Kluyveromyces lactis: one gene and its partners. The protein of the gene in region 1 purifies or fractionates together with the protein of each later gene. This does not show direct contact. Links are inferred from orthologs where the notes say so. Each region holds a gene or a part of one and is shown in the gene's direction. Other genes may lie near its edges.

Region 1 (3,003 bases):
TGAAACAGAGGATATTCCATCCGGTGAAGAATTTGATGATGACAGAACTGCCAGCCAATTACGAATCTTTGGCTACCTAATGTCCATGAAGAGACCTGAAATGTTGCACACCTTGGTTAATGACTTATTTATTAATCACATGAGAAGGAAGGATTACATACAAGCCGCATTATCCCTAGAATTATTAGCGTTGACTTATGAATGGAATCCAAATGATAGCCTTCCAGCAACCAAGTATCCACCTTTACCCGAACAGTCTTCATTTGAACGTAGAGAATACCTCTACAAGGAAGCAGCTAGAAATTTCACCAAGGGTTTGAAATTAGAAAAGGCATTGACAGTATACAAAGATTTGGCTGACGCATACGATAAGATTAACTACGATTTAGATGGATTATCCTACGTTCACGGTCAAATCTCAAACATCTACACCGATTTGCAAAACGTGGACAGATTGGTACCGAACTATTTCAAAGTCTCCTTCTACGGGTACGGTTTCCCCAAGAACCTGAGAGGAAAGACGTTCGTGTTCGAGGGATTACCGTTTGAACATATCACATCCGTGCATAACAGACTGTTAAAATTGTATCCCGGTTCAAAACTAGTGAACAGTTTTACTGAAGCGGATAAGTTATTGGTATCGCCACCGAATGGTAAATTCATCCACGTTATCAGTGTGGAACCAAGGTTGCAAATATCAGACGAGTATGCCACCAGTGACAAGAAGAATGACAATAACAAGGTCAGATTGTACGTAGAAAACAGGGATTTGAAAACGTTTAGCAGTTCTAGAAGAGTTGCTGGGACACACGGAATCACTGATCTATGGGTAATAGAGTATATTTTTGAAACGAAATCCACTTTCCCAACATTAATGAATAGATCCGAAGTTGTGAAAGTCACTGAGAAACGTCTATCACCAATCAACAACGCCATCAAGTCGTTACAACAAAAGATCCAAGAACTGAGCGGACTTGAAGACATGTGCTATAAACTAATGAAAGAAAACGGCGATTGTTCTGAAGTATTTTCAGAACTGTCAAGAAATATCACAGGTACCATTGATGCACCTATTAACGGTGGTATTGCAGAGTATCGTGTATTCTATACGGATGAAGAAACCAAATCGAAACTAGATCCTGCTGATGTGGAATTATTAGTTGCTGCGTTCAACGAATTGACCATTGTCCTAAACCGTTGTCTCGCACTACACGGACAGCTGTGTCCAATCAGCTTAAGCAAGTCACATACGCTTTTGAAGGACTTATTCGCCAAGAATTTCGAAAAAGAGATCAAAGTTAGCGGAATCGATATCAACGAGACCAACGACGAAATAATCGCAAGAATAAAATCAATCCAGTCATCTCAGCAAAGTTTTTCCAAGAGAAGTAGTATGCTAATGTCAAGATCCATATTCTCAGAGAGCCACTCTATCAGATCTGCTGGAAGTAACGGAAGTGCAACAAAAAACAGTATGCATGATCTCACCGTTACCTCTTCCCATAGAACTACAAAAAGCAACGCGCCATCTCACGCAGCGTCACATGCTACGAGAATATCTCGTCCTACCACACATATCAGCATGCTAAGAAGCACAAGATAGCATAGAATAACTTTCTCCCACTGCAACTGTTCTAATTCTCACCTCATGTAGTCTATATAACAATCCAAATACATTTAGGAAAACATCAAAACGTACGGAGTGATTTATGTGCCTAAGCAATTTTTCCCGGTAAAAAATCGATCAAAAGCCAATTCTTTGCAGAGAGAGAGTTTGGATTAAACCTTTCTACCACAACTATTTTCAACGATCATTTGTTGTACATTCTTTTTATTTTACATTCGATTATTTCAGATCGTTGTTACTGTACAGTATAGTGTCTAGTGATATTACAGAGAGATAAAGAAGGAAAGCAAAGATGTTTAGAAGTGTATTCCGTGCTGCCCCAAGTTTGACCAGAGTTTCTGGATTGAGAAGCGGATTTGTAAAGCCAACTTTTTCAAGTGCTTCCAGGTTCTATGCTTCTTCTTCTCTATCCAAAGAAGAAATCACAACCCGTATTGCTGATGTGATTAAATCTTTTGATAAGACAGCTTCTGCTACTTCGATTACTGCTAACACTCAATTTTCCAAGGATTTAGGATTAGACTCATTGGATACCGTTGAATTGTTGGTTTCCATTGAGGAAGAATTCGATATCGAATTCCCAGATAAGGTTGCAGATGAGCTCAAGTCTGTCGGTGAAACTGTGGAATACATCGCTTCCAGCCCGGAAGCTAACTAAGCAATTGGGATCCGAAACGTTGCCCTTCGGTTTTACCAGAATTTAATGTGGAAGAATGTACATATATTGACACACATATATAACTTATAATGAAAGATAAGATAGTTTTGATGAACTGTTTCATGGCCAAAGTGCTATATGTAAACGTCTATTTGTATATCCTTATTACTCCATATGTTTGAACTTGATTTCCATCGGGTCATATGATTTGTAATTCAAACATTTTTCCTTGCGCCCAATGATCACTGAGTTCAATTTTTAAGGTTATGTAACATGCAAACCACATCTTTAGACAGACGGTTGTTGAGGTAAAGACAATGGTTATAAACGCCATTTAGTATTAGATCCGAACCCATATACTTCCAATATATAAAAAATGAGCCGTGAAGAGAGAGTTTTGAGTGATACTGATAATGAAAATACGAATGAGGAAATAGAGACTGGTATTGATTCCCCGGACGAATCATCTTCAGGGTTGTTCACAGCGGGACGCTCGTTACAATCGAACGTCATAGAAGACCACAACCCTGACTATATATCTGCAGATGCAGAATTGGCCGCAGAGATACCAGATGACACCGAAGTAATTGACTTAGTGCATTTGAAAGTACTGGCGTTGGAAGACTTGAATTTGTTGAGATTTAAGAATTTGAAGAAGTTATATTTAAGACAGAATTTGATCGAGTCAATAGCTGAACTGGAGGTACTACCGTTAGAA
Region 2 (2,856 bases), on another chromosome or scaffold:
TCATAAGAATCAATCTTTGCTGTACAATCGAAAGTGCAAGGGCTCAACAAATGTGTTGAGATTACTTGAACTAATATAAATTCATAGACACATCAATAGACTCAGGTACAAGAAAACTTTGAGTGTGAAAAAAAAAAAGGATCATAGTCGTGAAGGTGATTATCAAGAGTAGGATTAGTGGTTACTACTGTTAGGATTTTCGTATAATGCCCTCTCGGTAGTACGTATTTATATGCATTTTTTAAGAAACTTAACGGTTAATAAAATGAAAACTGTTGAAAAATGAAGTTTTCGCACCTTAAATAAATATCATGAGATGAGATGAGCTGGATTTGAGACAATTTTATTATTCTTCAGTAAAAACAAAGACTCTAAGGTTGCGGGAAGTTTATGTATACATAGTGCTGCCAACAACCAGTGATATATTAATTGTGTGAAGACAAGTATGAGTGCTACTACGACTATCAGACACAGGAGATCTATTTCTGAAAAATTAGAGCAGTTAACTCCTGTTGCAATTTCAAGCACGATAAAAAGGTTATACAGATATAGTGAACTTCCTGAATGGCAACAAGACAATGATAAGATTATTACAGGGTATATCCGTGAAACTAAAAGTGTAAAGGAATGTGTCAAATCGTTATTCTTATTCCATAATGAATCGATAAACATTTACTCTCATTTGGTCCCGACTATTACGTATTTGGTGCTCCTTGTTGGATTAGCAGATATGTTTCTCGTCCCTCAATTTCCAAACTCTACTATGATGCAAAGTGTTATGATCCATTTCTTCCTATTGGGTTCGGTGCTGTGCTTAGGATGCAGCAGCTTTTTCCATTGCTTAAAGCAGCACTCCGAATCGCATTGTCATATCTGGTCTAAAGTGGACTACATGGGAATCATTATTATGATTACGTGTTCCATTATCTCATTGTTATACTATGGATTCCACGACCACATTTTCCATTTCAAATGTTTCACCGTATTCACCGTTATTCTGGGAACTATCTGCACTGTGTTTGCACTACACGACAAATTTAACTCAAAGACTTTTAGACCCTTCAGAGCAATGTTTTACGTGACATTCGGTTTGAGTGGGATAGTTCCAATTGTTACTGGGTTTTGGAAATTTGGTGCATATGAGGCCATTCGCAGAGTTCAATTGAAGTATGTTTTGTTAGAAGCGATGTTCTATATTGCCGGTGCAGTGATTTACGGGTTCAGGTTCCCAGAAGTGTTAGCGCCTGGGAAATTTGATTTCGTCGGACACTCACATCAAATATTTCATATAATGGTGGTTTTAGGCTCCATCTGTCATTTCAGAGCCATCCTCGGATCTTATGTTTTCATGCATACTGGTATGCATCACTCGAGCTTTGTCTTCATAAGATGAAGAGATATGCCAATACTTTATCTCATATATCTTACCATTCTTCTTACAAGAAATTTACACATGAACTCATACATAAATACAGACACACGCGCAAGCATTAGAAAGTAACCTTAATGGGACAATCCATCAAGTACCGCAGATGTTGCTACACTCGGCTGATTGTTGGTTCCGTCGTTTGTAACATTCTCTGGCGACAGTTTACTATATTATGCAGTTTTCTTTTTTCTTCAATATGAACAAAAAAAAATATATATATAAATGAGAATGGCGAATATCAACTGTGATAACTAGACAGAGAAGAGTCTCATAAGACAAAGAAAACCGTATAGTAAAGCTTCAAACTAAGTCACCTAGATCCTTATATATTAAACACGAGATGTCTCAAGCGCTCGGAGCTTACAGAAACGGGTTGAGAGCCGCCCGCGTTGCTTTTAAAGGAGACTTGCGCATGCTAATGGCAGCAAGACAACAGATGAGAGAAAGCATGGTCAATCCACCAAATCCAGAGCTTCCACCTGATCAACAGATCAAGCTTATGAACGATGTTGCACAGTTTCTAAGACAAAATGTCGTTCAAGGTAAGAGGACTAAGGATGACAAATATCACTTGAACATCCATAAGGACACTGAATTGGGTGACAACGAAACTATCAAGACTACTAAAAAGACACTGGCGGCCCAAGGTGGCGGTTGTTGTGGTGGTGGTGCTGGCTTGTACAAATAGGCAGCTGGAACAGAATAGCAAATTATGAGGCAGATTGATGACCTGTCTTTCCCCTGATTTCGTCCTTTCTGAAGGGACTCTATTACTCGACTACTAACTCTGGTGTCTTTGACCCCAGATGCGTTTTGCAGTCCCTGATATGGCGCATTCTGTTACAGTATTTTGCTTATACACAATCATTAATTTACATCTTCTTTTTCTTTTCCTTCCCCGTCAGGTTTCGTGAACCAAATATGGGAACTTTATCATGTACATAACGAATTATGTTGGTCAACGGTCTCTATTATTTAATCAAACTCTATTTTATCATTTTTACTATGCAACTTCAAGGCGTTTACGTACGGTGCCTACAGTGCACATTGTAATTCCTAAGTTTACATCTATATATACGTTCGTGTGTGTCATCTGACTCATATTAGGTTCCATCCAATTATTTTTTCGTTGTCATATATATTTCATTCCATTAGTTATGTATGACCGATAGAGAACGACATGGTCAAAGCTATTGGGGAAAACAGAAAGTGCTAAGCTCGATTTAACTGAACCATTATGAACACCTCGCATTCGCAGGAACCTAAGGACAGAAGTGTGAAAATTTCGAAAGCATTGGCTTATTTGCTGAGACATGGTGCTGTGAAGGAAAACTTGCCTATAGATTCTGATGGTTACATTGCATTGGATAGAATACTGCAGCATAACAGACTCAAAAGCTTGAAAGCAACGTCAACAGAAATACAGC
Region 3 (3,054 bases), on another chromosome or scaffold:
TCTCTAGCAGCGTCCTTCTCGGCGGCGGCCTTCTTGCCATTATGTTTGGACAATTCAGTCGATTCATTCTTGTCAGAGTCACTGGTTTCGGACTTGTTCTTATCCTTACCATTGGCAGTTCCGCCTTCTTCTTCACCTTCTTCGTCTTCATCTTGGAACATCTCAGATTCATTCAAGAAGTTCTTCAACAACCCGTATTCACCAATCCACGATGTAAAGGAATCGCCACCAAAGACGGTCATTAACATTTCATAAGGATCCTGGTCCATAGGAATTTCACCATTGGTTTCGTCCAATCCGAATTGATCATACTTTTTTCTCAAATCATCGTCAATCAAAACCTGGTAAGCCTTAGCCAACTCTTGGAACTTCGTCTGTGCTTGCGGATCATCTGGATTCTTGTCCGGATGCGTCTTAATTGCTAGCTTTCTATAAGATTTCTTAATTTCCTGAGGCGAAGCGTCTACAGAAACCTGTAAAATATCGTAATATGTGGTATCTTTCACCATAGCTGAGTATTTGATCCGATAATTGCTCTTGATAATAGTAAAGCTAAACAGCTAATCTTATACACAGTTGGAAGTTCGTGTGAATGTATGGCAGGTATACTGCTTTCTGTATCAATGTGTGGTTAGTATAAGTGTTTGCCTTCCGGAATTATTTTTGGTTAATGTTGTGATGTAATGTTAAGCCATTTATTGATTTCAGGAAATAGAAACATTTCAGGTTTGATGAGAGAACAAAGGAGATGCATAAAAGGAAGAAAATGGAATCGAGTTGCAATGGCACCATTTCTCGATGGGCCAAACTTTCCAGTCTAGTAATCAAATATACAACCTATGGCTAACTAGTAGAGTATCAATCTTGATATGCAGATAAATACCGATTAATAAAGGGAGAAATTTTCGCTCTTCCATGCATTAAAATAACGCCTGTAACGAATTGTACAAATCATAAAACGGAGCATACACATCCTTGAGAAAGGATCCGTTCCCATGAGCATCCCTTGGTAAGTTATGCACGTACTGTTTTAACCTATCTGCCAGATATGGCAAATCCATCAGGATAACTTGAGAAACGCCTCTTTGCCAGACGTAAAGACCAAATACTACCAGAATAACATAAGAGGACGATTTAACAACTCGAATGGCACGCTTTATAGTCAAATAGGCCATGTATAATGAAAACAAGTAACCCAACCAGTCAGAGACTTGTGGGTACCTACTTACAAGCGAATGCACCGTCTGTAGGGCCCATATCAGATAATAAGAGGCATAGTATGTCAGTTTTTTTGCCAAATTCACGTATGGCTGATATTTTGGATCACTCAACAGATGTTGTAATCTCTGGTATTCTTGATAACTATTCATAATCGTCTAACCTTAACCACTCAAACGTCGAAACTGCTTTACCGGTTTGCTTACCAGTACCCAAAATAACTCCTGGCTCCGATATTACTCCACGGATTTAACAAATACCGTACGAAAGTTGACTTTAACTTTAATAAGGGAACGGCACTGACAGAAGAAAAGACAATCCAAATCTTTCTCAGCTAATTCGGAGATAGAAGTATATATATATAAATATATTCCTGAATTGCAGTGCAAAACAGAAGAATATTCAAGAAACTATTATACAGTAAAATTTACATCTTAAATTCACGTTGCCATCAGAATCAGAATAAAGTTGTGTTTTGGTTTTTTAGTTTCAGTTTTTAATTTCCTTTCGTTTTCTGATTTCTTTAACATTGGAAAGAAGGAAAAAAATATTGTACTTTATTATATTTTTTAGTACTTTTAGAAGAACGTTTAATCATACATAACACAAATCACAAGGTAAGGTTCAGGATCCCATATCGGTATTATCATAGACCGGAGTTTCTGCGTGTAATTATTTGATCCGCTAGCTTTCAGTTTTATTCTTTCCGTTGTTTTAAAGGTATTTTTACGAAAGGAATTGGAGTGATTTCGTAAGGAAGATAATTTCAACTCTTCAACTAGCTACACATCCACAAGCACACACATATATTAATACAAGAGATGCCAGCTACTGGAGCAAGCAAAACGCAGATATTGCATATGTATAAAGAGTTCATCAGGAACGCGAGCAAGATACAGAATTACAATTTCAGAGAGTATTTTTTAAGAAGGGCAAGAGAGTCATTCCGTGCCAATAAGAACGTTGAAAATCCTGAAAAGATCAGCGAATTGCTTTCTGAGGCAGAAAAAGACCTTGGTGTATTGAAGAGGCAATCTGTGATCTCTAACATGTACACATTTGATAAATTAGTGGTTGAGCCTCTGAAGAAGCGTTAGCATGGCCCATTTACAGGAATGCTTTCCCCTCTCTTTTTCATATTTCTTTCAATCAATGAACGACAGTCCCACTAGTCCAGTTCCCCCACATAATTTCCTTGGTCCGCATCCCATGTTTTGCATTTTAAATAGGTATAATTAACAGAAACGCGATTCTAACAGATTCAATATGATCTCAACAGTTCTACAATTACTGGGATGACTCAAAATGCTAGTAAATTTACTCATTTTGTTTATCTCTTTCGCGCAAAACACCAATCGTTTGCGTAGACAATTAATATGTCTTTAGGGTAGGTTATGGTACTGAAACACGGTGTCTGTAAACAGCAAGGACAGACGATTTGTGTCTTCCACGACGTTCCGATCCATGCTAGACTGCTGTTCGAGGATTAATAAGCGGAAAGAGAGAGAGACATGGGGTTTGGAATTGCTCAAAATCACGTGAACAGGCACGTGACTTCAACCAACCCAAATCCAAGATAATATCATCGTCGTAATCCAGATATTATTCATGTTATGCATATTTCCCTTAATACCAATTATAAGGTCATTGTCGTCAGTGCCGTCGCATCAAACAGTATAGATAAGCAATCTAATTTCGTGCCTGTAGAGTCTATTTTTTTAATTATGAGATCACCTTACTGGAAAGAAGTAAGAATTGATTACTCTTATATATGCGTTGAGAAATACTGCACTAAACGAATATACAGATGACATGATTCGCGCTCATATCGCGTCA
Region 4 (3,262 bases), on another chromosome or scaffold:
AGAAAACATGTTTTCTAGGAGGTAGAGAAGGATATTATAAGGATCAAATTTCTTTTATTTGTTTTGTGTGGATAAAAAGATGTCATAATTTCCTTGATGTGATCATAACTTGGCTAACTTCTCGATAACAGCGTTGGTGAACTCAGAAGTGGAGGCTGAACCACCGATGTCTCTTGTTGTTGACTTACCTTCAGAAATGACATCATATGTAGCTTTGGAAATTCTATCAGCGTAAGCGTTCAAACCTAGATGTCTCAACATTAGAGTAGAGGACAAGATCATAGCAGTTGGGTTAGCAACGTTTTGACCCTTGATGTCCAAACCAACATGTCTGGAACCTGGTTCAAAGACAGCGTATTCTCTACCGAAGTTAGCACCTGGGACTAGACCGGGACCACCGATCAAAGCAGAACCAATGTTACCCAAGATAGAACCGTACAAGTTTGGTGTCACCAAAACATCGAATTGATGTGGCTTGGCAACAGCTTGCATGGAAGCGTTGTCAACGATGATGTTCTTGACATCGAGTTCTGGGTATTCGTTAGCACCAATTTCATTAACGGTGTTTCTGAACAAACCATCACCCAATTTCATGATGTTAGCTTTGTGAACAGCGCAGACCGACTTTCTGTTGTTTTTCAAGGCGAAATCAAAGGCGAATCTAGCAATTCTTTCTGACTTAGCCCTGGTCATGATCTTCAAAGATTCAACGACACCTGGAACAGATTCGTGTTCTAAACCAGAGTATTCACCTTCAGTGTTTTCTCTGATGATAACCATGTCGATGTTATTCAATCTAGTCTTGACACCTGGAATTGATTTGAACAAGGCGACATTGGCGAAAATATCCAGTTGCTTTCTCAAAGCAACGTTCAATGAGCCATGACCGGTTTGGTCGGCTGGAGTGTGCCAGATACCTTTCAAACCAACCTTGTTTCTCTTTAAAGATTCGACAGCTCTTTGTACATTTTCAGTGTTTTCTAGACCAGAAATGTCGATAGTTTCCCAGTCGATTGGAATATTTTCGTTTTCGAAGATCTTGACTACTGAGTCGGTCACTTCCTTACCAACACCATCACCTGGAATCAAAGTTACAGTGTAGCGACCACCGTACTTCTTTGGCAACAATTGTTCAGCTGCTAGGGTAGCGAAGGACTTTTTTTGAGCAGCAATACCTTGTCTCAACATTTTTTTCTATGTTCTTGTAATTTAGTATGTAATACCGGGAATATGAGGGGTTTTAAGTTAAAATAAAAGAGCAATTAACTCGGAAATGAGAAAACCTATTGATCTGATATAATGACTATTGTTTTAAGCTTAATATAATTCGAAAAGAAGGGCACTTCAAATTATATCTGGAATATTGTTTCTTAGTGGAGAAGGGAATTTAAAATAAACACAAAACCTTTAGAAAAAAAGAAAACGAATAGAAATGATAGTTATAACACTAATGGCAGATCCGCTAGTTGTTCAGGCAATTGAATTGGCTTTCTTCACTGATCTTTTACAGTGTTCCTTTTCAGTTGTTGATGTAAAATGAAAGCGGTTGTGATTCAAGGTTTTTAAATCTCTCTGGACAATTTCCATATTTTGTATTTATATACTTATCATGCCAATTTCTAACAAAATTTAGGTCACATTTGATTCCCCTGTGTTCAAGTTGGAAAGTCGGTCCCGCTGCAGTATAATAACAGTCGCGATCATGTGACCTGGGTTCCGTTCTCGGCATTGAGTCAGTCAAAAAACGAACAAGAGGAAAATAAAGAAAAGTGACAAAAAAAAAACACGAATCATTACCCGGAATGAAATATATCTTCAGATTTACAGAAGAAACGTGAAAAAGGTTTCACGTGATCTGGATCGACAGTTAAAGAGAGATTTGACTGTTGAAAAATGTTTCGATGAGTTCTGTATTAGATTGGTGATTCTAGCATGTTATGAGAGTACTCTGCCTTGACATATTATAATAGGCATTATAGGATATCTCCACTTATCATTATCTCACAGAGCAGTGATAATATAGAATATATTAAGGATCATACAATGAGTGAGCTAACGTTATCGACATATAAGTCACTATTGAGATCACTTGTCCGTAGTGCGAAGCACAATAAAATCCAACAACTACAGCAAGATACAAAGAAACAAATAGCCTTATTGACATACAATAGGATCCAATTAGTGAGACAACAGCAGGAGAAGGGCCTAGATGCAATGGCAAGAAGCAAGGTATTAAAACAGCTCAGTGCGGTTGGAAAAAAAATTGAAATTTTGAAGACTAAGGACCCATTGAAATCTAAAGAGCTATTATTTTACAGCCATAGCAAACATCTCAAAGATATTGTTCTATCGCTGAAAGATGACCCGCGTTCTCTTCAACATTTGAAAGATATTGCGGCCTTTGTTGTCAATCAAAGTGAATACGAGCAGTTGATCGAAAGATATAATCCAGGATTGAAAATGTCACAAGAGGAAAAAGTTCAAAAGACTGCTAACAAGGTAGGTCTACAAGTTCCTGAGTAATAGCAACACGGTCAAGTTTAACCATACTGCTGTTGGAAAAGCTTTTTAGAGACGGTCAATAAATGTAAATATTCTCGTATTAAGCTTGTGTTTTTTTATAGATGTTTTAATAGTCAATAATGCAACGATCAATGAACTTAGGATTCAGTACTTTTCTTTGTTAAGTAAAGCAGATACAAGTAGCAGCTAAAATTTATCATTATCAAAGTATTTATTCAACCTATATACTTTTCATTAACAACTTGCCCCTTTACATTTTATTCGAAAGAGTGATTCCATGTCTTATATGGCAATAGGATGGATGAATCGATCGACAATTTCCCTCCAGCGAAGTGCATTGCTGAAAGTACCGTAAGACCATGTCAAATTTGGAGCCCCTTGGTTGTATCCATGATATTTGTTGAACTGTTCGCTCATCGATCCGTCGTTACTTACATGCTCGTTAACTTTGCTTAGGAATGAATCACCGTATTTGAATATTGTGTACAACGTTTGGTTGAACGCTAATGTATTATATGGTATCAAGATCAGCGAATCCTTCATATTCCCAAATTCGAAGAATTTAGTCCAGAACTTGTTCGATATCGGATCAATGAGTAAAGGTTTCTCATCGTGATACATTTTATTGACTAATTTGTAAATCAATTCGGCAGAGGTTAACGTTGAGATAAACCAGGGATTACCTTCAGAGATGTCAATTCCATCATAAATATCCTCTGGATATCTCCCAATGGCAACT

Evidence for each region. Proteins that work in one complex are often made in the same cells at the same time.
Region 2: the proteins of ACP1 (region 1) and MZM1 purify together in Saccharomyces cerevisiae (affinity purification with mass spectrometry; 3 studies listed by BioGRID, with this or other methods). This does not show direct contact. The link is inferred for Kluyveromyces lactis from reciprocal best matches to the Saccharomyces cerevisiae genes ACP1 and MZM1.
Region 3: the proteins of ACP1 (region 1) and ISD11 purify together in Saccharomyces cerevisiae (affinity purification with mass spectrometry; 4 studies listed by BioGRID, with this or other methods). This does not show direct contact. The link is inferred for Kluyveromyces lactis from reciprocal best matches to the Saccharomyces cerevisiae genes ACP1 and ISD11.
Region 4: the proteins of ACP1 (region 1) and FMC1 purify together in Saccharomyces cerevisiae (affinity purification with mass spectrometry; 4 studies listed by BioGRID, with this or other methods). This does not show direct contact. The link is inferred for Kluyveromyces lactis from reciprocal best matches to the Saccharomyces cerevisiae genes ACP1 and FMC1.

Annotation. Positions count from the first base shown.
Region 1 is NC_006040.1:238,797-241,799, reverse strand, and holds ACP1 (acyl carrier protein), read left to right. Parts: upstream 1-1,919; coding exon 1,920-2,285; downstream 2,286-3,003. Other genes in the region: guanine nucleotide exchange factor DCK1, read left to right, coding at 1-1,603; type 1 protein phosphatase-activating protein SDS22, read left to right, coding at 2,662-3,003. UniProt on the Saccharomyces cerevisiae protein: Carrier of the growing fatty acid chain in fatty acid biosynthesis. May be involved in the synthesis of very-long-chain fatty acids.
Region 2 is NC_006039.1:1,055,964-1,058,819, reverse strand, and holds MZM1 (Mzm1p), read left to right. Parts: upstream 1-1,769; coding exon 1,770-2,117; downstream 2,118-2,856. Other genes in the region: KLLA0_C12463g (uncharacterized protein), read left to right, coding at 1-79; IZH1 (PAQR-type receptor), read left to right, coding at 446-1,393; TPT1 (tRNA 2'-phosphotransferase), read left to right, coding at 2,667-2,856. UniProt on the Saccharomyces cerevisiae protein: Assembly factor required for Rieske Fe-S protein RIP1 incorporation into the cytochrome b-c1 (CIII) complex.
Region 3 is NC_006041.1:401,273-404,326, forward strand, and holds ISD11 (Isd11p), read left to right. Parts: upstream 1-2,039; coding exon 2,040-2,315; downstream 2,316-3,054. Other genes in the region: CAJ1 (Caj1p), read right to left, coding at 1-509; APQ12 (Apq12p), read right to left, coding at 921-1,370.
Region 4 is NC_006042.1:387,085-390,346, reverse strand, and holds FMC1 (Fmc1p), read left to right. Parts: upstream 1-2,043; coding exon 2,044-2,523; downstream 2,524-3,262. Other genes in the region: isocitrate dehydrogenase (NAD(+)) IDH1, read right to left, coding at 103-1,188; SGA1 (glucan 1,4-alpha-glucosidase), read right to left, coding at 2,806-3,262. UniProt on the Saccharomyces cerevisiae protein: Needed for the assembly of the mitochondrial F1-F0 complex at high temperature.